4 linked regions of the Saccharomyces cerevisiae S288C genome follow. Changing the gene in region 2 together with the main gene of any one other region gives a genetic interaction. Each region holds a gene or a part of one and is shown on either strand. Other genes may lie near its edges. The genes, in order: DOT1, SIR1, RAP1 and SAS2.

Region 1 (6,076 bases), on a different chromosome or scaffold from region 2:
TACTGGTGACAGTGGATCAGTACGTCAACGTAGCAATTTCTATATATAACATGCTGCCGCCAAAATCTGTAAAGTTCACCCACATTGCGCATACGCTGCCGGAGAAAGTGAATTTCAGAACCATGCAGCAACAGCAAATGCAACAGCAACAGCAACAGCAACAGCAGCAGCAGAATAACAGTACAGGATCATCTTCTATAATATATTATGACTCGTACATCCACCTGGCATACTCGCGTAGTGTAGATAAAGAGTGGGTTTTTGCAGCTCTTTCAGATAGCTATGGACAAGGCAGCATGACGAAAACGTGGTACGTCGGGAATTCCAGAGGAAAATTTGACGACGCATGTAATCAAATATGGAATATCGCCCTAAATTTAGCGTCTAAAAAATTCGGAAAAATATGTCTAATTTTAACTAGATTGAATGGCATACTGCCGGATGATGAATTGATGAATTGGAGGAGACTTTCTGGTAGGAATATACATCTTGCTGTGGTGTGTGTGGATGACAACTCTAAAATCTCCTTCATAGATGAGGACAAATTGTACCCTAGTTTCAAGCCGATCTACAAAGACACTAGGTTTGGAGGACGCATGGATATGACCAGATTATACGACTATGAAATAAGGGATATAGACCAGGACATCCATGGAATAGTATTTCAGCACCCGTTCCCACTGGCACACTCACAGCATCGCTGTGCTATTAGGAGTGGTGCTTTGATCAAATTCAAAAAATGCGACGGTGATACGGTTTGGGACAAATTCGCAGTCAACCTTTTAAACTGTCCACATTCTGATAGTACACAATTGCTGGAAACCATCTTAGAAGAGTTTCGCAACCTGGCTGCTCTAAACGTGTGGTACGGTCTCTCTGATGGCGAAGATGGCCATATTCCATGGCATATCCTAGCCGTGAAAAAAATGATGAACACTCTTGTGCACACCAGAGTAAAAATTGCTAATACTTCCGCCGCTACTGTGCATACCGCTACTTCTTCATCAATTATTCTCTCGGATAAATAAACTTTTTCCGGCAACGTTTTCCTGCTCATCTGTAGCCCTATTTACCAGTTTTGGTTTTAGTATTATTCCGGGGTGTAAACCCAGAAGTCTATTTCTCCAGTCGGATTTATAAAAACAAAACCGGAAGCGGGGCGGTACGGCATTTTCACTGGTGATGCACGCCCAGCGTGTAGTCCGAGACAATTTCCACAGAACGCGAATGAGATTGCGTTTAAGGCTGTATTTTCAAGGCACACGAAGCGGCCACGTGGGTCTGCGATGGTGTGTTGATGATGTCAAGAATGGTATCATACTCCGTATAAGGTTATGTAATCGGAAGTCGCGATTCTTTTTCAATTTTTTCTTTTTATTTTTTTCCAGTTTTTTCGTCTCTGCGATGGAAAATTGTTGAAGTTCTCTTGATTAGCAAGTAGTTCTTACATCGCAGGAATCTTATGTTGCATAGCTCAATTTACAAAAATAACAAGGATAAATATATATATATACGCATATACTTTTTGGGTGTTAAAGTAAATTTTGCACCCGTTCATACCAATCGTTCAGATAATTTTCGCTCCTTAAAAAAAGAGAGTGCGTGTGTATATGCCTGTTCATTGCCTGTCCGCCTCTCATTATGTCTATTTCTGAATCTTACGCAAAGGAAATAAAAACTGCATTTAGGCAGTTCACTGACTTTCCCATAGAGGGTGAGCAATTTGAGGATTTTTTACCTATTATTGGCAACCCCACGCTATTCCAAAAGTTGGTACACACGTTCAAGACGCATTTAGAAGAAAAGTTCGGCAAAGAAAAGATCGACTTTATTGCAGGTATAGAAGCTAGAGGCCTTCTATTTGGGCCATCCCTAGCACTGGCATTGGGAGTTGGATTTGTTCCAATAAGGAGAGTTGGAAAATTGCCGGGTGAGTGTGCTTCTATAACATTCACAAAATTAGACCATGAAGAAATTTTTGAAATGCAGGTTGAAGCCATTCCCTTTGATTCCAACGTGGTTGTCGTGGATGATGTTCTCGCCACCGGTGGAACGGCATATGCTGCGGGCGACCTTATCAGACAAGTGGGTGCTCATATTCTGGAATATGACTTTGTGCTAGTGTTAGATAGTCTACATGGTGAGGAGAAATTATCTGCTCCTATTTTTTCCATATTGCACTCCTGATTTAAATTTGTTCTCTGCCTCCTCCTTCAATTATTTTCCTTTCCTTCGCATATTGCTACTTTTTAGCTTGAACTTCTTTTGTTAATATAAACTGGTACTTTACTTTTTAGGTACCTGGTCCACGGCGCCTTATCCTTCTTTTAATTCATATTATTACCTACTCTTATTCTCTCCCTTTCTATTTTTTTATTTTTTGATTTTTATAAGTTACACTTGTGTACATGTTATTTCTACTTAGTTATTCATACTCATCGTTAAAAGCCGTTCAAAGTGCCTCATCTGGTATACTTCACCGGCGTACCTCTGTTCCTCCTACCTCTTGCAGCAGGGCTGAATAAACTTTCGTCCACATCCTCCATCACTGTTGATATATAATACTCTCCGCCACTATGCGTCCATGAAACACTATCCTCCTTAAGATCATACCTTTGCACCTTTAATCTATTGAAGATGTTCTCAACATTGTAGAAGTTGATCTGATAAGTGAGGCTTCTTAAACTTTTCAAACTTATGATCTTACATCCAACTTTTGCCGTTTGTAGTATCTTTTCGACTTTTTTATTCAAATCTTCATCAAATAAAAAATTATTTACGAGGATAACATCGCACTGAGGAATTAGTTCAGCGACCCTGTTATTGTCCACAAAGCTTTTCTTCAATGAAAACTCCACGTTGTTCAAACGCATCCCATATAACTTACACCTCTTCTTTAGTTCCTCGTACTGCAGTATAGTTAAATCGCTAGCATCATCCATGATTTCACATCCGAAGCTTAATGCACATCCACATTCCAACGCAGCTTGTACTACGCAATTACCTACTCCCGAACCGAGATCCATGAAAGTGTCACCCTTCTTCAACTGGCATTGTTGATATACATCAGATAGGAAATTGGGCAAAAGTTCTCCATAAACATAATTGCTGAATGCTTTGTAATGTTTCAATTTATTCGCCTGCGGATGGATACTCCTGGTATAGACGATATGCAAGAAGTCATGAATGAATGAACGAGGAATTTTATCAATTGTTTCTAAATGGTCAATTATTCTTTGCCTAGGAATTTCACGAATCATTTTGTTGTATAAATTTATAGCATTCACGAAACCTTTCGTGTCAGAGTTATCAAATGATGCATTTAGGTCCGGTAGTATAGTTTCCTTCAATTGTTCAGCATAAGGTGAAGGTAAAAAGACCAGGCAGCTGTATTCAATTAATTTACCAATTTCACTCATTGGATTATAAATGGCTGTTGACCTTTTGAAGTCGACTTTGTACTCTTCCATATAATTTGAAAATAAAATACTCTGCAACTTTGCTGTCGTTACTGAGGAAGTGTCGTTATCTGATGTCAAGCTCGTTGGCTGTGGAGAATTTGTTCTTAAACTAATGGATTGTATAGGAGTTCCAGAATATATTTCATGTGATCTTAAGTACTCTATGTCAAATAATGGATATTGTAACCGTAGACACGGGCCATTCCAATCAACAAATGTTGATGAAGGACTATCGCGATCATTCTTCTTGTTTGCCCGACCTTTTTTCAATGGCTTTTTTTCTCGTGCAGTATCTATTTCTTGCTTTGAAATTGGGGTATGTTTATGGTTAGTCCTGCCATTTTTTCCTTTTACTTTTGCAGCTTTTGGCTTCTTTACATCCTTCTTCGTGGTGGTAGATGACTTCTTCCTTGTGTTTCTATTATTGGTTTTCTTGTGAATGGGAGGTATAACCTTCTCCACCAGCGGAACCAACCCATTATCCTTACCCTTGGTGTTTCTATCTCTTAAAAATCCTCGAGGTAAAGATGACCCATATATTGGATCGTATTTATTAGCTTCTTCTAATAAATTTTGTACTTGCTTAGAGAGAAGCGTACCTTTAGAATAGCTTGAAAGCGACTTGGTTTGCATATCGGTGCCTTTCTTCTCATCAATAGGTGATATTGAAGATTCCTGAGAGTCTAAGTTGGGGGACGACATAATGAATGAGTCTGAGTTATTATTTGATATACTTTCTTGACCGCCCATTACTGTACAACAAAATGTAACCAAAGCGCACAATTACTGGTGACCTCCTTGATGAGGACCTCAGTTATTTTTCAAGGCAATTAAGACGACGAGATGCCCTATATTCGAATTATGTTTATCTCATTGAAAGCACTTACCGGTCGATTTTTCAATGTCCCTTTTCATTGACGCGTGCGAAGGCGTCAGCAGGATTATGCATATATTGCTAAAAAAAATGGCACGTAAATCATTACTTAGTTTCTGGCTTGTTATACTATTGTGAAGTAAGTGTCTAAATTCAAGAACAGAAAAACAAAGAAAGTCACTCTACGGTCTTTAGCCGTAACATTTTTTCACTACAGAGAAAATTCATGCCAGAGCTCTTTCATCCATAAAAAGAGGCGACGACGCTTTCGACTCTGAAAATACAAGCTTTCATTGGAAACAATGTAGCGAAGCAGCTGACATTGGAATGCACTAACAGAAACTAGACAGACAGGTAAATGCCACACCATTAGGGAATATGTTTATTCCATCCTCTAGTTTTCTGGCAACAAATAAGATAAGGCGGTTTAATTACGTGAAAAAATCCTACCTACGGGTATTCACCGCTTCTTTCTCAAAGGATTTCTAGGAACTTGATTCGATCTCCAAGAGTACATCCTGGAATTTTATTAATAAAGCAGACTTCACTATCTATGACTACTTTTCAGATTCAAGTATGCCTATTCAAGTAGGAAAAATTCTCTTGCAGAAGAACGGCCAGTTATGGAAAGGGTAGAATTTATCGCTAATTTAGTAAGAATTGGAGAGAAGAAGTGACCGGGTGGCGATATTCTGTTTATTGTAGCACATTCACAAGGGGGGGGGGGAGTATCCCGTTCTTCAGTGTTCCTGTTGTCGTATTTAATATCGAATGGCATAATTCAATTGGATAAAGAAAGAAATGTTTTTAACTAAAAGATAGATTCATTAACAAAGCTTACAAGAAGCGCATGGCCTTCACTCGAATTGTTTAAAAACAAAGTGGTCAAATTATTCCAAAATCTTGAAAGACTCCCGTTCCTTGAGTTATTTGAGTTTCAAAGTTACATTTCTGAATTATCCCAACAGTTCTCAACAAGCTGGATGTTCTGGTTAATAGAGGTGTCAAAATTTCCAAGATTGGCTCATTGAACGATCAAGTGATGCTTTTTATTCTTCATCGTGGACTTTAGTGCAACATCCAAATATTATTTAGAGCGTTATATGTGCCTGGTGGATAACTTCAATATCCAATCTTTCTTCTTCATGTTATTAAATTATCAGTAAATTAATTAATTTAGAATACTCTGACTGTACCACGATGAAGGAACTGACTCAATTTTTTATGGGACCAATTTTAAGTGTTGGTTTCTATTTTTTACGAAGACAATAAAGTTTACAAAACGGGGATAACGTTTACGATAACGTTTACGATAACTTTTACGCTGGCAACATTGGGCACGCAAGGAAAACAACAAAATGTCAGAGCTACATAATTCAAAATGAATAAGGTTTGGTAGAAATTCATTTAATTTCCCTTGGTGCATAAAAGGCTCATCGAAGAGACTAGACTACACTTATTATGTGAATAGTTGAAACAGCCGTATCAAGAATACAACAATTGGGTACCTCAAACAGCCAAATGGAGAGACTTGAAAATATAAGCTGAGCGGCCTGAGGCAGTATTTATGGTAATTTATATAAAAAAAAATGCTAAACTGTTGGTATGTAAAAGAGAGAGGGAAGGGCAGGGACGTAGATAGCTGTTACTCATACAAACTCGTCAACATTTAAATTATTACTCAATTCTTCATCTGAGTTGGGTAACGTGGCAATTCGCTGCTTTGTGAGTTTTCTTTTCT
Region 2 (6,282 bases):
ACGAATAGAGAAGTCTTCTGGCTCATTTGGTTTAAAAGTAGCCTTACAGAACTGAAGATATTATCTTTCTTGTCCCTCTCTAATCTGCTTTCTAACTTGCTCTCTAACTGTGCGTATTATCATTATCACGAGGAACCTCAATGTTCTGCACCGCATAATCATCTAATAACTCATAAAATTTCTCTCTTTTTAACTGGTAATTGGTTGACATAACAATTGAGATGTACAAGAATATTAAAGAACTTTTAAACTCATAATATGAAGACTGTCGAGCTACATTTGATTAATCTGTAGCGAAAATTCCCGAATGATTTTTTTAGCAACTTTCGAGAAAGTAATCCTCCCATATTTTGAAGTTATAGTAATATCCAAACGGGTGGCACACAGGTATAGGTACTACTGCTGCCAACATTACACCGGGAGTAAATGTCCAAAAGAAGGCAATATATAACCCGCAATCAGGCTGGTAATTCTAGCCAAATATTACAGCCGCACAACATTTATATTCATATTTATATGTGCCAGGAAAAGCCTCTTCAATAATAGAGTTAAAATAGATGATTTCCATATTTGGTCGGCAAAGCAGTGCAAGAAACTCAAATGAAGCATACACTAACCAGAATCGGTAAAAAGACGGAAAAGAGATCATATAACCTCGACAGGTTCTTCTTTATATGAGATGGAAATAAACTTATCTAATAGAATTAATAGGAAAAGAACAGAGGCAACGTTAAACGCATCGAAATGTAAAGTATATGCGCTCCAAAACGAATATAGTTTGATACAACTAAATTCTGCTTAAGAGATCAATTTCGAAATTCACGCCTATAAGTAATTTGACTACTTCTAAATCAGCATGTTTCTGAAGAGATCGGAATCCTAAATAGCGTTCAAATGCACCACTAGCTTTGAAAAAAACAGAGTTGGAAGAGTTTATTGGGAGGTTAGTGGTGACTTTACACGGTCAGCTTTATGATACCGCTATTGCTTCAGTTTTCTATTTTTCTCCTTATTAACAGGCCGATGGTCATAATAGTGGTTTACGAAGAAAAAAGGGAGGTTAATATTTCAAGGGAAGCTGGCACTTGACTAAAGAACTGGAGCTGTTGCTTATACTAGTGAACCTCAAATCCAATCTAAATACAGCTAGAAAATTCATTTCTTTTTTCCTCCTTTTTTCACAGGCCTAGGAAGCTTCTTGATCTGCCTTGCGAACAATGGCAACGCGTATCTTATCTCTTGAAAAGTATTTGGTTCTTATTCAGTCATCCTTTGTTGGTTATATAGTATAAGTACATGCCATGACGAAATTCAGGAGTTACTCTGGAGTGTAATGCTGCTGCGTTTTAGTTATAAATAATATATCATCTTAAGGTGATCGATCCAGTGCTTAGATAATAATTCAGTTCACAAATTCGGCATGGAGGACCACCCACGCATTATTGTCGGTTTATGCTATATATAAGTTTAATTATAATTAGGATGAGCTAGTTCGCCAACTAAATATAAAATCAGAGAATGAAAACATTTCAGTGAAAGTTAGTCAATAAAACAGTAATTGGGATCATCAATTGCAGTATCTATTATTAGTATATTCTACTAAGTCCTACATAATATATATTTAACGGTACTACAGTACGGCTCGAGTTACTTAGCTAATCAAGCAATTAAAAACAAGTTTCTGTCAAACAAGTGTATTAAAGGCGAAACTGTACCAGTTATCTGACCTCATTGAAATGAGACATCACCCGCTTATATGTTGGTATCCATAACTGATAATCTTACCAACTATTTAATCGTTACAGTTTCCCATATATAGCTCCTCAAATGCCGCAATATAGTTTCTTCTCAAAACGTCATAAGCAGTTAAATGTCGCATCCGTCTAATGGCCTCTTGAAAAAGGAGGTCAGGCTCCATTTGCAAAGACATTTTCCGCCCACACTTTGACTGCTTTGTTGCATATGAAGATGTTGCTTCAAATTCAGGAATAATGCTGTCATCATACAGATATTGGACAGTTTGGTCATCCAAAAGAATAGGGACACAGGAACACAAAACTGTCATCCGCTCCGGCTCATACTTTAAATTTGCTTCTGTAGGTAATGTATGTAACTTGAAGTCCGCACCTCGTAGGAATTTTTTCTTTATTTGTTTACAAAATTTAAATAAGGTTTTGGCTTTCAGCGGGATAGGATCTTGATATTTTTTGAAGTCATTCCACTTAACTAAATTCATTTGGTCAATCATGGCACGCTGATGATCTTTTAGCAGTGTCAGTAAGCGCGGATCCTTTGGGTTAATCGGTTTTTCCTCTGCTAGGTCGATTAGAAATCCATCTGCTACTAAAAACCTCGGCGAAACATACTCCTCCTCTGTACTAAACTTTTTTTCAGCTGCCCACATATTTTCCATTTGTTTTATCAGAGTAATCAAAAGGTCTTCCTTAATAAGTTCGAGTGTAATTTTATATTCTTCAATGCTCTGGTAATATTCCTTATCAAAGCTAGCCTGCATCTCAGGATTCGCCTGAAAAGTATCCCTTATCTCTTCTAAAGATTGTGTGGTTTTTTCTATGCATATTTTTTCCAACCTTCTTGCCAATTCTTCAACAAGTTCAATATAATTTTTATCTTGACCAGCAGACATCAACAGTAAGGTGACTCTGGACACAGGAAATTTCGAAATTTGATCTAGGACCTCGCTAGAAACCTTATTCACCCTGATATTATTTTTTTCCTTTTGACTATTAAATTGCGTATGCACATTCTCTATTTGAGAAATATCTGCTGAGATCTTTCTTTTTACAACCTCTGCTTCAGTAAACTGCTGTTTTTTTATGTCTGAATAATCCAGGTTGGAGATAGTATTCTCCACAATTGGCTTTTCCCTGACAATAAACCTATAATCGTTATTTTTACTTTTGAATGAATCTGGGGCTGTTGAATTTGATATGGCATATGCAATATGTGTTGCTTTGGCAGTTGTCGTTCTCTTCACACGATACCACAGTGGAGCCTTACCGCATTTTCCATTTTCCATTACTTTACAAAATTTAACAAATACCCTCTTTCCTAATAATTGAAATAGCAGATCATCCTTTACAAAATAAAAATTTGAATTCAAACTATAAAGTATGTCAAGGCTTACCGGATTGTAAGTTTTTCTTAAATGGGCCCATTTTGTTAAGCCAACCTGACTCCTCAAATTGTTATCGTTCCACCTATAGAGCCTCCTTTCATTTAAGTATAGAAGGAAGCCCTCAATTATAATGTATTGATGACTAACATTGATCTCAATAAGGGGATACTCCCGATCAGGGTTTACATCCAATGAAAATTCACATACCCCCGCTAAGGGCTTTTCTTTATCTTTTAGCATCGGATGTATGTACACGGTGCCCCATTTTGGTAAATATAACCTGCAGCATTTACAAGTTAATTTCTTGACAACTTTGTAACGTAATTTGCTTCTGATCCTCTTCAGAATTATTCTTCCATCTTCTAACAAGAAAAACTCTCGCAAAACTAGCTTTATGTGTTTAAATAGTTCCATAGATTTCACTCCAACGAGCACCGAATTAGAATCCTTCTTTAATCGCGTCCAGTCCACCAAGTTTTGTTGTGATAGCTTTTTGTAGTCATCGTCATTGGGTAACAGTAATCTTACTTCAGGACTCCGAAAATTTATTGGTTTTCGCTTCACAGTGTCTACCAGCCATCCATCAATAACTGCAAGCCTGGAGTTGATCTGTAGCATTTTTTTTGATATTATCTTATAATTTTTCAGCTGCTTATAACGACGTGTGATTATTGACATTATTGTTCTCATTCTTATATTACTCAATATACATTCCGGGTCACATGTGCCCAAATTCTCGCGACAAACTTTTCGAGGCCGATATTAATAAACCATAGAAAAAGTACTGATCCTCGAAATCAGAGTTAAAGACTTTTAGAAGATTGGAAGTAAGGAATCCACCATTCGCTTGAGGTTTCGGGTTAGAAATTCTTTGCCTACCATTCGTTGCAAGCCTCTTTAGATTCTGCTTGCTGACTCGCTCGCTATTTGTTCTTTTTCAACAGAAAGCATAGACTTATTATTGTGACTAAGGATCAGTTATCGTTTGCCTGCTCGGGACAATTAAAACGAATATCTCTAAGTTGGATATTTTATACTGTGAGGCAGTTTTTGTACTGAGTTATTGAGTATTAGACAAAATTTCGAGTCCTTATTTTACTCTTCACCTAGGTCCGGCTTCTTAGTTTTGTGTTATTTATCAGGGATATATTTTTTTTTTGGGAGCTCATCGTAGTAAGAAGTAAAAGAGATGACTGCCAGCACATCAGTTGCGGTGGGTTGTGCGGTGGGTATACCCGTCGGTGTAGGTATTATAATAGCAGTATGTTTCTGGTTTAACCTACAAAAAAGATACAAGAGGGAGGAACAAGACGATAGAGAATTGGAAAGGGCTATTTATGATGAAAGTGGTTTCGTGTCCTTTGACAATTTTGGACCCTTAAGAGACAGTAAAGATGAAGCAGCACTAGCCAGCTCCGAGCTAAAAAATCCTGATCACACTTCTGGTTCATCGGAAGGATCTGCTCATCCAGAAGAAAAAGATGGAAAATCGCGAGATCAAGAGAAACCGTTAGGGAAAAAGAATAGTAAATACTATGTGCCAGCATACCGTAGGAAAATAAATTTACTTCAAGTACGAAATAATAACTACGGCAATAATGCCAGGCAGAAGTCCGTTGTGGATTTACCAAGTATAAATAACAGCTCCAATGTTTCCTTATCATCTTCCCAACGGCATATAACAAAGAGACAGATCAGCGTTTATGATCAGATGGTCCCTGTTATTTCTGATGAAGGACCAAACTTTTTCGCAGATCCTTCCAGTGATACTAATACTAGCAATGACCAAAACAAAGCTTCGATGATAGAACTTAAACATAATACTCGCCAATCTAGTAATGAAAATCTGATAAGAAATTTGCAGAATCAGGACTTTGGTTCGTATTACCCAAGGAGAGCTTCATCCTCGTTTTTAAATGGTAACATTTCAAACGCGTCCTTCCATACAAGGAATTCCTCTATAACATCGGTAAATAAGCGCGATGCCCTAGAGGATGTGTTTGCAACACCCAAAAGTGCGGCTCAATCACAGTTACCAAACACTTTTGATAAAGATAACGAAGGAATGGATGCTGACCACTCGGTAAAGGATAGCAGGTCTGCAATAACAGATAAAGATAAGGATTTATACAAATTACAGAATAACTATGATGTGGGCAATATCGGGGAAATTGCTGAGGAAGATCAATACGAAAACGAATTTACCAACTACTCACAGAGTAAGAGAGAGTTCATAGAAAGTCTAAGGCCTAAATAGTACTGTTGATATACTAAACATTATATTATAGTTAAAAAAAGAAGAAAAAAAGAGGAACAATTCTATTAAATTCACTTCAAACATCAAACGTAAACAATACAAACAGAACTCTTCATGGATGATGGGTTTTAAAAAATTAGTCAAGACATAATTCTTAAAGTTCATAGTCTCATTTTTCATTTTCTTTTTGCCTGCTTTCTCTTTTATACATCGCCGCATAATTTACTAAACGCCCTTTGTGTTTGTGGGCGGAAAGAAATATATTCCCTTAAAATTTCCAGGAAATTATGTTGCTACAATGACTTATAAAGGGAAAAAATAAGAAGAGAAATCTTGGAAGAATACCCTAGTAAAATAGTGTACAAGGCAAAGTTCTTAATTATGCAAAATCGCCGTATATGAAATAGAACAACTTTTTATACAGCTTAAATACAGAATTCAAGTATGTTAATCAACATGAAAGAAAAAAAAAAAAAAATGCGAGTCATGAAACTACACGTTTTTTTCAGAGAATATTATCCATCTTGTGCTATGTATAATATACACTTATGCTTATTACAAAACTAATATGTTAAACAATTGAAAGATTTGTGTTTTTTTTCGGCCTTGCCTTCTCAACTAGGATTCAGTGGCAGGACTGACCCATTATCGGTAGAACCTCCTGACGTCATATCATGCTCGCTCGTCTTCTTAGCCTCATTATGCAGTGTATCTGCCTTTTTATCCAACAGTTCGTTAAAAAAATCGTATCCTCCGCTATGGGAACCTAGGCTGCTATCTTCTGTATGTGAGCCAATCCCTTGATGTACCACTTGAGGCTTGGCACCATCATTTTCAGCTGACTTTTCAACTGGAGGATTTGGATTCGTAGTAGCCAAGGATCTTA
Region 3 (6,817 bases), on a different chromosome or scaffold from region 2:
CCACAGAAAGTTCTTTATCTCTAATGCGTTTTGAGGTTCTTACACCCTTAGGTACACTCCTACGTGCTGTTCTTCTAGATGATTTGGCTGTGACTATCTGATCGTCAATATCTTCCGTATAATCATCATCGTCAATGTATTCTTCCCCACCAGCTGAGACGCTGTCGGATAACTCTGCCTCAATGTCACTTGCTTCACTGTCCATTGTAGTCTGCTAATCGCCAGTTATTTGCTAGTTAGGCGTTTTATCCTTGAAGAAAAGACACGTTAAAAATGAGAATCTTCGTTCTGCGTTATACTTTCCTCCTTTTCTTCTCTCTTTTTTGCTAATGGGATTCTATAAAACTGTTCCGCCTTAATCATTGTAAGAATTTTGAAAATTAAAATACGTAAAAGTTTACATAAATTATACATTGAACTGAAAAACAAAGTAGAAAACGTGAATCAGTGAAATAAAGGAGTAAAATAAGTTAAACAATGATGTTACTTAATTCAATTACTCATAACAGGTCCTTCTCAAAAAATCTTTTCCTCATTTCCATTCTACCAGTTCCATGCTTTTTAACCAGTTTCCTTATTTGTTCTTGATCATTGCTTTTTAGCGATTCGTCGTCATCATGTGTCCAAATACCAGGAACGTTGGGAGGAGGATTAACATTGTCCTTAAACATGTTCAAGAAATAGCGAGGAAAGACCATCAGATCCCCGGATAAACACGTCAATATGCTCGTACTGAAATTTTTACGTATACCAGTTTCATCGCAAAGATCCTGTACCAGTTTTTCAGCCTGTGATGGCTCATAATCTCCTGAAATAACTTCATGAAGTTTATCCATAAATTGTCTCGTACTGCCAAAATGAAAGAACAATGGCAGGAAAAGATCTGTTGTTGCAATTTTTGGTGGAAAGCTTATGGTATCAGGATCAATATTATCATATATATCTTCATTCGAAAAATCGCTTCTTATAGCTTCCGCAATCTCGTGTGGATACTCAAAGGGCAAACTATTTGAAATATTGGATAGATCATTCTTTAAACTGGAAATGAAATTCATGGTATCTTCGTCCAGTAATTCGTTTTCTGGTATAGCGTAAGAGTTGGAAGCAGCGGCAGCAGCAGCGGCAGCAGCATTAGCGGACGCTGCATTGGCAGTAGGCTGAACATTTCTTTGAGAACTATAATTTCTTGCCCTCTTGGCGGCAGAGTTATAATTGCCAGGAGTGGGAACGCCAGGCCTCTTGGGTCTATTGGTGAGGTTCTTCATCGGTTCCGGCTCTCTATTCTGAGCTTTTTCAGCTTCATAATAACTAATATAATCATCAATGCCGTAAGCGAGAAGAAACTTCCTAAACCTATCTCTCCAAGCATTCTCAGTATGTGCTGCATGCTCTTCGGCAAAATGCTTGAAAAATTCTCGTGCAATCGGTCCCCTACGGCTTTGGGTTCTGTAAGCTGCAAAGTTGGGTTCACTCCCTGGCACATGATTTGGATCCATTGTCATATTCCTCCTCGCTATAGCAGTGGGTGTATCCTCATCTGTGATAAGTGATCTTCCAGTATCAGGGTCGATTTGAAACAAATCACGATAAAACTGCTTCTTGACCGCGATTGCCAAAGTGTAATCTTCATCTGCTGAAAATTTCCTTTTAATTGATGGTGGCAAAACTTTAGTCTTTATCAGATTTCCATCGTCGTCTCTAACCAATTTACCAAACTTGTCAACCTCATAAACGTACTCTAGTCTTTTGGAAAGATAGACTCTAAATCGGTGCCTAATAGAATTACCCGTGTGGTTAGGCACATAATGGGATATTTCATCGTAAAGAGTATGTGTTGTACGCCTGGTTGGATTTTTTCTCACAACATCCAAAATAAACTCATCTTCCTCATCTGTAAAAGAAGCTTTATTGTGGGAGGGCAAAGCGCCTCTCGAAATCATGGACCTTTGTGCTTGAAAAGATGCATTCCCCTCATCTGCTGTTTGAGGGTTGTTGTCCTGTGTCAAAAGATCATTGTCTTCGTCGTTGACGTTGCTATTATTATTATTGGAGGTATCTTTTTGAGGTTGTTCGATCTGGACCAAGTCATTGTGCCCTCCGCTTGTGATTGATGCGGTGCTGCTTACATGTTGACGAAGGAGCTGAGCTTGCTCTTGTAATCTAGCTTGTTGTTCAGCGTCTACCATAACTTTTTCGCTGGTTGAGTCTTCCGTAGCGCCATTAGTATTCGTAGAGATTATTTCTGTTTTGGGCCTGATAGAATCCTTGTTATCGCTATTGCTATTGCTATTATCTACACCATTAGAATGCGATTCCTCCTGCAACCTACTATCGACAACTTCTCTAAAGTTATCGTATGGTACTAAATAATTTTCCATGTTCAGTAGCGAGTTGCTTTGACAACATGCCTTAATATAAGTCGGAGTTACCGTTGGTAAATTGGTATGATTATAGGGTGACACGATGAAAACATTCTCTTTTGATTCTCTTGGCTTGGAGTCTAGCACTTCACCACCGTTTGCTCTAATCAGACGCGCTAATTGATCAATATCATTTAAAGAGTCATGCGCATCCGCGTCGCGATTAAGATAGAATTTCATATTTGACAGAGGAGGACCACTTACTTGTTCCTTTTTCTCATCAGCAGCGGTGTCATCAGTAGTAGGTTCAGTAACAGATGCACCTGATGTCGAAGCAATGTTAGCGGTAGCAGCAGTATCAGCAATGGAAGGCGTGGTAGTTGTTACACCGACTTCAGTGGTATCATCATCATCTTTCTTTTCGACCTCCGTCTGATCCACTTTCTCACTAGTTTCAGCAGCAGTAGCACCAGTGTTTTCTTCGTTTTGATTAGCTTTTACCTCAGCGGCTGAATCCGATGGCGCTGTGACTGCAGCAGAACCACTGTCAACAACGACCATACTCGGATCCAATGCATCAACATATTCTGCTGGTGCAGTTTCAAAATCATCTGGACTAGACATATTGAGATAATCTGTACGCAAATAGTGTCTTATGTAGGGCGGTTGCGTATACAACGGTTTGTGTTTACTACCTTTTGGGCTATGGGTTTGTTTTGTTTAAAACGTGTATTGATGGTGTTTAGGTGCTGGATGTTGGGTGTTGAAGAAATGATTGCGGTTGTCTGTTTTCGGTTTTGTTTTCTTTTCTCGCTAAATTTTAAAACTTCAACAACGAAGAAGAGGCGGGTAGCGGCCATTGGGCAAGAATACTTGTAGCTCCAGCGAAAGTTTCATTGAAATTTAAGATTCAGTATTATGAGTTACATAATAATATTCATATCTTTTTCATATAGTACATTATATAAAATCTGTTGCGCTTTTAAGTAGTACTTTTTGTTTTAAGAGCATTGTACTTGAATTAATTCATAGTCATATTGCCCCTTCTTAATATCGTACTTCACTTTCATAGATGAAAGCAGATTGTTCTTTATACATGCTGTGTCCAAACCTTTGGTCTGTCTCCGTAGGTTTAGTCCCATGGATGCATCGTGCCCGTAAAATACTTTGGCGTTACTAAAGTGGTCTCCGTATTTGTCCCACAGTGTGTACCATCTCACATAATTCTTGTTTTCCTTTTCACGTGATGTTTTTGACCAGTTCTTCTTATCAACGTACTTCATGTTTGACAGAGAGCTCACGCCCGGAATTTGGTTGGGCTTCATGAAGTCTCCCGGAACCATCCCTGCATGTGCACCAAAGAGTATATCACCGGTAATATCCAGATCTAGTTCTATGGCCATAGAACAATGTTCCGCTAGCTGACTTAATTTGGAAAACCCAAGTTCGCGAGCTAACCGTCCATGTGCGTTGCTGATTTTAGAGATGTCTTGTGGTATGAAATTAGTCTCCGTACTGAAAGTTAAAGGTGTCATTAATTTGGGGCGTCTTACCCATTTCGAGAAGTCTGGGTTTAAATAGGCCATCATGACCAATATTTCATGATTGCCCAAAACGCACTTGACTTGATCCTTGTGATTTAGAATATACGACACGACCTTGTCTGAGTCCGGGCCCTTGTGAATAAAGTCACCCAGCAATATCATTGTTATATTTTCTCCTAGTCCTCCAATCTTGTCATCAATGAGTTCTATGAACTCATCATAGTTACCATGAACGTCACCAACAAAAACGTACTCCTTATTTAAATCTGTTACATGCTCAATTTTCTTCAAGGTGCTAATTGTAGGCAATAAGGAAACTGGTGGAGACAACCGAGGGTTATCAAACTTGAATATATATAGTGTATAAACGCAGCATGCCACAAATAATATCAATGCTGTACTAAGTGTAGCGGCTCGTCTTTTCCGCTTATCTTCCATTTTTGCGTATCTATGCTCCTCAAGCCTGGCTCATTTTACAAGCTGGAAGGTCGAGGAAAAGGAAGAACTAATTCAAGAATAATGTGCTCTTCTTATAGGATGCGTATATGTTCTAATATATCTCAGATGGGCCCGCGAGACTTTTCTAGCATGAAAAAAAAAGGTGGATCCTTGATTATCTAAAATTATAGTTTATATCGTTCATGCTGCACAAAAACGTGCCAGCAATGCAATGCGCCTCAAGCGTAAAAAAACAAGCGGCATTGGCCAACAGAGAAAAAAATATGAATTGTAGACGCGGCATTGAGAGAAGTATGGAAGACCCTTGACTAACCCTGATATGACTGTCTCAAGTCAGGATCTTCTTTGTCTCCTAAATGTTTGCCGTCCAGGAACTTTAAGTCAGTTTTATTTGGACATTTCTCGAGCACTTCTTTGGGAAAGTAGTCTTGTTGGACTTTTCCTTCAATATAATCGGGATTGTACTTGTAGCCTTTATGATAACCCAGCTCCTCCATCAATTTGGTTGGCGCATTTCTGATATGCATCGGTATCTCACTGCTTGCTAAACTGTACATGTTCTCGCTCATCATTGCCCTTAATTTCTTCCAAGCTCTATATAGTTCTACTGACTTTGGTGCCCTAGCCAAAGCAACACAACATTGCGCCAGTGCAAGGTCTGCCTCTGGCAAACCAACTTTCATTACTGCGTCATGTGCCGCGACAGCCAAGGGCAATAATGAACTATCCCGTAATCCGATATCTTCAGAAGCTATTCGAATCATTCTTCGGGCAACATACAATGGGTCCTCTCCTCCCTGCAACATTCTTGCTAAATAGTACAGTGAGGCGTTTTCGTCCCCACCTCTAATGGATTTATGAAACGCAGAGATTGTATCATAATGGTTATCTCCCTTTGGGTCATAGTATGTATTCAACCCGTTGCTGCTGTTGTTCTTAATTATGTCTCGTACATCATCGATAGATAATTCTTCCTCGTCGGCCTTGCGCTCTCTTGTTGAAACTTCGATCATTTCCAACATATTTAACGCCCTCCTTGTATCACCCACCGACAGATCTACCACGTACTCCAGTATGCTTCTAGACAATTTCAAAGGATTTTCAATATTCCATACTTGTTTCCTGCATTTATTCAATAATGCAATTCCTCTTGATAAAACAATACACAGTTCGTTGACATTCAGCTTTTCTAGGACAAAAATCAGACATCTGCTAATGAGAGCATTGTTCAGCTGAAAACTTGGATTTTCTGTCGTTGCACCAATCAAAATAATGTCACCGTTTTCTACGTGTGGCAATAACAAATCCTGTTGAACTTTATTGAATCTGTGAATTTCATCAATAAAAAGTACAGTTCTTCTTTTGGTCAATTGATATTCCTTTTTTGATTTTTCAAATATACCTCTCAATTCTTGCGTATTTGCCTTTGTCGCACTTGTTTCGATCATGAAGTACCTGGAACCAACATTTGATTCATTACTACTGGTTGTCGCAGTTTTCGTTAATAGTCTAGCTAGTGAAGTCTTTCCTACACCTGGAGGGCCCCAGAGTATCATAGATGGTATAGTCCCTTGTTTTATGTATTTGAACAATGTACCATTATCTTGAGAGAGAATGTGCTGCTGACCTACATAATCTCTTAATTCTTTTGGCCTCAATTTTTCACTAAGTGGCAAATGGCTTATTTTCTGCAACCATCTGCTTTCGTAATCGTTGTGAAGTTGATCTCTGCTCGAAGCAGGCTCCACTATTGATTTCGCAAAATCCGTGGATGGTGCTGCCTTAAATCTTTTGCTTTCATTTTCAACAATCTCAATATCATCACTCTCGCTCTTAAGACCTGGCTTAATTTCATGGTCCTTATTTTCAAGATCAATGAATTTCTCTGAGTTAGCTTGTTTCCTCTTTTTTGGGCCTGCCAAAAGACTTGACACCGTTTGTGGCCTACTCGAAGGCTTTGACTTTTCCTTGCCACATATGTCAAGATGAGAGTTGATTAAGGAAAAAAAGACTTTTCTAGAGCAAATTGGGCATGATATGAGCTGTTCTACAGATGTCCTCTTGTTACTCATTGAGACTGTGCGATCCTGTTTCAGATCTTACCGCTAGCGTTCTTCTGCTAATAAGCTATTTTTTACCTGTCGATGACCTACCTTAAAACACGTTTCGTTTAAGACAACGCGTACAGTTTCACAAGGAAAGCAACCGATGATTGAATGTCAATTAAAAAACAAAAAACAGATGTTAATTTTAACTGGGCTCTCAATATCAAACCGTTATAGTATATGATGTATCTAAACGACCACTTATCACTTGGATATGTTGTCAAATCCGTTTTGCTCTTGCGCATGTTATACCTACTTTTTACTATCTACGGCGGGCATCCTGACCCGGCTTATTTACTTGAAAATGCAACAATAAGTCCGTTACGCAATATTGAATTTTGATGAGAAC
Region 4 (5,082 bases), on a different chromosome or scaffold from region 2:
CTTCCCTGAAAATCTAATTGTTTCATATAAATCGATAAACTCCTTCGCCTTTTCTAACTGAATTTTATTGGCGTTGTGATTAACAAATTGTGAGTTCACCACGTCGGCAAACGTATCTTCTAGATTCATTCTAACATCTAAATTGTTCAGAAACAATCCATGGTATTTCAGTCTATCTGTTAAACTTTTTATACAATCAGCATAGTTTAGGTATTCTGGAAATAACTTTTCATCTAATGGGTAGTCACATCTCCTCGGGGGCTCAAGTCCGTCGTGAATAACAGGGTCTTTAGGTTTTTTGAGAAGAATTGTTAATTCTTTAGATCTTTCCATGTTCTGCAGTACTGCTTCCCTACTAGAACGATGCGGGAGATCAGCAGGTGTGATCGGAATATATCTTCTTGGTATATCTTTTAAACAACTCTTATGAAATAGCATTCTTCCAATAATAATAAAGATACAAAAAACGCCAAAGACAACTAAAGCGCCTACAACAATGAACGTATTAAAGGCATTGTTTTCTGATTTAGAAGCTTGTGCAATGGAATCTATGGGTAAAACAACTGAAAACCCAATCAAAAGTATCAAAGAAACGAAAAGGGAAGCTTTGTATAACCACGACTTGAGTTTTGCGAATCCGGACATCTACTGCTAAGTATGGACACTCGTGTCTATAGATAGTATCAGGCCAAAGTTGTATAGCGGTATCTTTTTTTGAATAAATTTCAATGTGTTTTCCTCTGTTTAACCTCCCACTTTCTTTGATGCTCAAGAGCAATAACTTTATCGCAAAATAACAAAACTTTAATATGTGTTGTAATTTTGGCTAAACCCAGTTCAACATCACCACAAAAGAAGGTTTCCTTTATGCCCTTACCCTTTCTGCCTTCTTATTCTAGAATTTGTTTTGATGCTGTATTTGTTTGGTCCTTGTTCGTCATCGAAAAACCGGCCCAAAAACGGCTAATAAAAACGTGAACCTGTTTTAAGTCTTTTGCTATAAAAGATATTTATACTCTAAAAAAAGGGAAACTTTTGCAGCAAAACAAATTTTATGCATTAGTTCTCTGTTCTTAACTTGGTCAGACAAAATTCGTCCGTTTGTAGTTGTCTGTACAGGAATTCATCGAGCGATATTCTATCCTGAAATACATATGCCATTAAGTTACATCCTGAATAGATTCCTAGTCATCTATCAGCAAATATTCATCTTTTAATTTGAACCAATTCCGTTTTGTTCCATGTAGTTTCAACCAGCTATTCAATGACTGCAAGTAAATTTGGTTATTCTCCCCAATACAGTTCAAGTGCTTCAAGGTCAAAATAACATCATTGACTCTCATTCCAGTCACGATGGAAAGATCCTCCAGGGTCACTTTATCATAATGGGCGAGGTCACCTTCAATAAGGTGCCAACAGAGTATCTGTGACCAATATTTCAAGTACCCGATTAGTCCAAAAGGTGATAACGGTACTTCTGGCCCTGATATTACACCTTCTAATTGGGATAGTTTGTATGAAAACTCGATAAGTAAAAGGCCTAATCCACGTCGTTGATATGGGGGAAATATCAAGATGCACGCTAGATTATTTTGCTGATATGACACTAAATCTTTCGAAAAGAATCCCATCGGCTTTGTTGATCCAGTTTCATAAACTATGTAAAATTCATAATGATCTACTTTGAAATACATGGATTTATTGTCCAGATATAGCTTAGTGAAAAGACAAAGACATTGGCAAAAGAGTTGATACTTGGATCCTTTTACTCTTCTTATTGTATATTCAGGACTCTTGTATTTTATTTTGCCTGGAACACGATATTGAAATGGACAACTTGCAACATGTCCTACAAACCGCGTCTGATCATCCGTGTATTTGAAGCAGTATTCACAAACGAAAAGAGTGTCTAGCCAGTATTGGCTGTTAGAAACAGAGGAAAGCTGACCCTTGGTCTCGGAGCACCCTAGCCTTTTTGTTTCAGGATCGAAATAAACGGCGCTCCCATACCAAGTAGAGAATTTTTTATTCAGTCCAAACTGAATCTGTCTTATGTTCCTTTCGTTCAGTATTCCATATAGCATCTCTTTTTGAGTTTTTTTAATTTTTGCTGAGGGCTTATTCTTGCCTTTTCCACCATTCTTCTTTCCTTTTAGCTTCTGGGTAGTCGCTGTGAGTGATTGACTTAAAGATCTTGCCATTTTTTTTGCGAGTGAAAACAAAAAGCAACTAGAAAATAGGAGCCTCCAATATCAAAAAATCAAACTTCAATTTAACAGATTCTTAGAGCGCTACATACTCTATCCAGTTCGATATGGACAAGACTTAATGATTTCATCATCTCTTCTGATTAACGATTCTGTTATTCTTCATATTTACGCGCCTAACATATCATGATGATTGGGTGTTCCGAAAATTTTCATTGGCGATGAGCTGAGTATTGAAAGCTCATTATAGTATTAGTATATTATTGTTAATAGCAAGTGCTATATGCTATAAAAATGCAATTACAACCCAATACTAATAATAGAGTGTCTTAAGAAATATAAGTATGGGTACTTACAGAAAAAGGTTTAATGAAAAAGCCAGATCCGGCCATATGGCCAAATTAAAAGAACTGAAAAGAATTAGGAATAAGCAGTTCACTAGACAGGATGAAAACGATGAAAGAGTAGAAAACCCAGATTCAGCTCCCGCTGAGAGTTCTACTACGGAGCCAAATGCCAATGCGGAAATTCTTGAACCTCTCACTGAAGAAGAAAAGAAAATGAAGAAAAGAAAACTACAGGAGTTATTTACCCCAAAGGAATCGAAAGTTTCGAGATTGAAGAAGAAAAGACTGGATAAATTTATTGAACATCAATTAAAAAGAGAGGAAAGAAAGACAATTATTGGTAAACTTCAAGATTATAAGATAGATACAAGTTTGTTGACAAGCTCTAAAAGGTTAGGAGAGGGCAGGCAGACTAAAAAGGAAGAATTCAAAGAAGCACTGAGTTTAGAACGTCAAGGAAGAGGAAATGAACAAACAAATGAAATATTATACGAAGAATATGAACCAAAAGTTTGGGATGAGTATGGTGAAGGAGGGAGCTCTGAGGATGATGACGGCGAAGATGATTTCGAGGCTTCATTTGGTAGTATGCCGAAACCAACGGACAATGAGGAGAAGAAATCATCAGGTTTTATTGATCATAGACCAGCAAAATTTGGTGGATCTGGTCTTAGCTTTGGGTTTAGCAATATAAAAGTCATAAACAAAGAAAGCAAAACTCCGAAGAAGAAATATAATTGGAGACAACGAGTAGAAATGGAAGAATTGAAGAAGCATGGGAAAGAAGATGAAATGGATTTCGACACGACATCTGAAGATGATGACGAAGAGGAGGATCAGGAAGAAGAAGACAAAATGCATCCTAGTGAAAACCCACTCGAAGAAGTTGAAAGCGCAGATAGTGAAACTGGCTCAGAAAAATTTGACCAAAATGATGTTGCTAACGAATTCAAGGATTGGGCCAATCAAGAAATAAAAAAATTGGAAGGTAGAGATCAAGAGCTAGTTACTCCCACTTTGAACATCGATTATAAACCGATAATTAGAAAGGAAGATTTAGATGATGGTCTCCAAGAAGCTTATGTTCCAATAAACGAGAATTCCACCCGTAAAGCCTTCTATGTTGAAGTTAGCAGATCAGATGAAATTCAGAAAGCAAGAATTCAACTACCAGTATTTGGTGAAGAACACAAAATTATGGAGGCTATTCACCATAATGATGTAGTGATTATTTGTGGTGAAACGGGGTCAGGTAAGACTACACAAGTCCCACAATTTTTATATGAGGCTGGGTTTGGTGCCGAAGATTCTCCAGATTACCCAGGAATGGTGGGTATCACTCAACCAAGAAGAGTGGCCGCTGTGTCCATGGCTGAACGTGTAGCTAATGAATTGGGGGACCATGGTCATAAAGTAGGATACCAAATTAGGTTTGACTCTACCGCAAAGGAGGACACAAAGGTCAAGTTTATGACAGATGGTGTCTTGCTACGAGAAATGATGCACGATTTCAAGTTGACTAAATATTCCTCCATTATCATAGATGAAGCACATGAAAGAAACATTAACACTGATATTTTGATCGGTATGCTTAGCCGTTGTGTTCGGTTAAGAGCTAAACTACATAAGGAGAACCCGATCGAGCACAAGAAGCTAAAACTCATCATCATGTCAGCTACATTAAGGGTATCAGATTTCAGCGAAAACAAAACATTGTTCCCCATAGCGCCCCCTGTCTTACAGGTTGATGCAAGGCAGTTTCCAGTCTCTATTCACTTTAATCGTAGAACTGCATTCAACTATACAGACGAGGCTTTCAGAAAGACTTGCAAAATTCACCAGAAACTTCCTCCTGGCGCTATATTGGTGTTTTTAACCGGTCAGCAGGAAATTACACACATGGTAAAAAGGCTAAGAAAGGAATTTCCTTTTAAGAAAAACTCCAAGTACAACAAAGATTTAGAAACACCCGTTTCTAAAATGGGTATCAATTCAAAAACAACAGATTTGGAGGCTGAGGATATAGACTTCAGTGTACAAGTTATCGATCAAGATAAGTTCAAGAGCGCGATAAGATACGAAGAAGATGAAGGTAACAGTGGAAACGGTGAAGATGAGGAAGACGAAGAGGAAGAAGGGTTTGAAGAAGTCCTAACTGAAGGGCAAACAGCTAACGATCCTTTATATGTCCTTCCACTGTATTCTCTATTACCAACCAAGGAACAAATGAGAGTCTTTCAAAAACCTCCTCAAGGTTCTAGGCTTTGTATTGTTGCAACAAATGTTGCAGAAACATCGTTAACTATACCTGGAGTTAGATATGTTGTTGATTCCGGGAGGTCTAAAGAGCGTAAATATAATGAATCAAATGGCGTACAGAGTTTTGAAGTGGGCTGGGTAAGTAAAGCTAGTGCCAATCAAAGAAGCGGTAGAGCAGGTCGTACTGGACCAGGCCATTGTTACCGTTTATATTCGTCTGCTGTTTTTGAACATGATTTCGAACAGTTCTCTAAACCTGAAATCTTAAG

The links.
Region 1: mutations in SIR1 (region 2) and DOT1 impair growth when combined (synthetic growth defect), as found in Saccharomyces cerevisiae (3 studies listed by BioGRID, with this or other methods).
Region 3: of SIR1 (region 2) and RAP1, a mutation in one rescues a mutant of the other (synthetic rescue), as found in Saccharomyces cerevisiae (2 studies listed by BioGRID, with this or other methods).
Region 4: of SIR1 (region 2) and SAS2, changing one enhances a phenotype caused by changing the other (phenotypic enhancement), as found in Saccharomyces cerevisiae (6 studies listed by BioGRID, with this or other methods).

The regions. Positions count from the first base shown.
Region 1 is NC_001136.10:1,340,628-1,346,703, reverse strand, and holds DOT1 (histone methyltransferase DOT1), read right to left. Parts: upstream 4,212-6,076; coding exon 2,463-4,211; downstream 1-2,462. Other genes in the region: SSN2 (Ssn2p), read left to right, coding at 1-1,028; adenine phosphoribosyltransferase APT2, read left to right, coding at 1,642-2,187; LRS4 (Lrs4p), read right to left, coding at 5,985-6,076. UniProt on the Saccharomyces cerevisiae protein: Histone methyltransferase that specifically trimethylates histone H3 to form H3K79me3.
Region 2 is NC_001143.9:638,015-644,296, reverse strand, and holds SIR1 (Sir1p), read right to left. Parts: upstream 3,758-6,282; coding exon 1,793-3,757; downstream 1-1,792. Other genes in the region: SKG1 (Skg1p), read left to right, coding at 4,329-5,396; BAS1 (Bas1p), read right to left, coding at 6,011-6,282. UniProt on the Saccharomyces cerevisiae protein: Involved in the establishment, but not the maintenance, of heterochromatic silencing at the cryptic mating-type loci HMR and HML.
Region 3 is NC_001146.8:237,856-244,672, reverse strand, and holds RAP1 (DNA-binding transcription factor RAP1), read right to left. Parts: upstream 2,985-6,817; coding exon 501-2,984; downstream 1-500. Other genes in the region: IES2 (Ies2p), read right to left, coding at 1-205; PPN2 (putative serine/threonine-protein phosphatase), read right to left, coding at 3,362-4,342; ssDNA-dependent ATPase MGS1, read right to left, coding at 4,672-6,435. UniProt on the Saccharomyces cerevisiae protein: Essential regulatory protein in yeast whose DNA-binding sites are found at three types of chromosomal elements: promoters, silencers, and telomeres.
Region 4 is NC_001145.3:521,145-526,226, forward strand, and holds SAS2 (histone acetyltransferase), read right to left. Parts: upstream 2,202-5,082; coding exon 1,185-2,201; downstream 1-1,184. Other genes in the region: DLT1 (Dlt1p), read right to left, coding at 1-645; ATP-dependent RNA helicase ECM16, read left to right, coding at 2,552-5,082. UniProt on the Saccharomyces cerevisiae protein: Histone acetyltransferase (HAT) subunit of the SAS complex, a multiprotein complex that acetylates 'Lys-16' of histone H4 and 'Lys-14' of histone H3. The SAS complex is however unable to acetylate nucleosomal histones.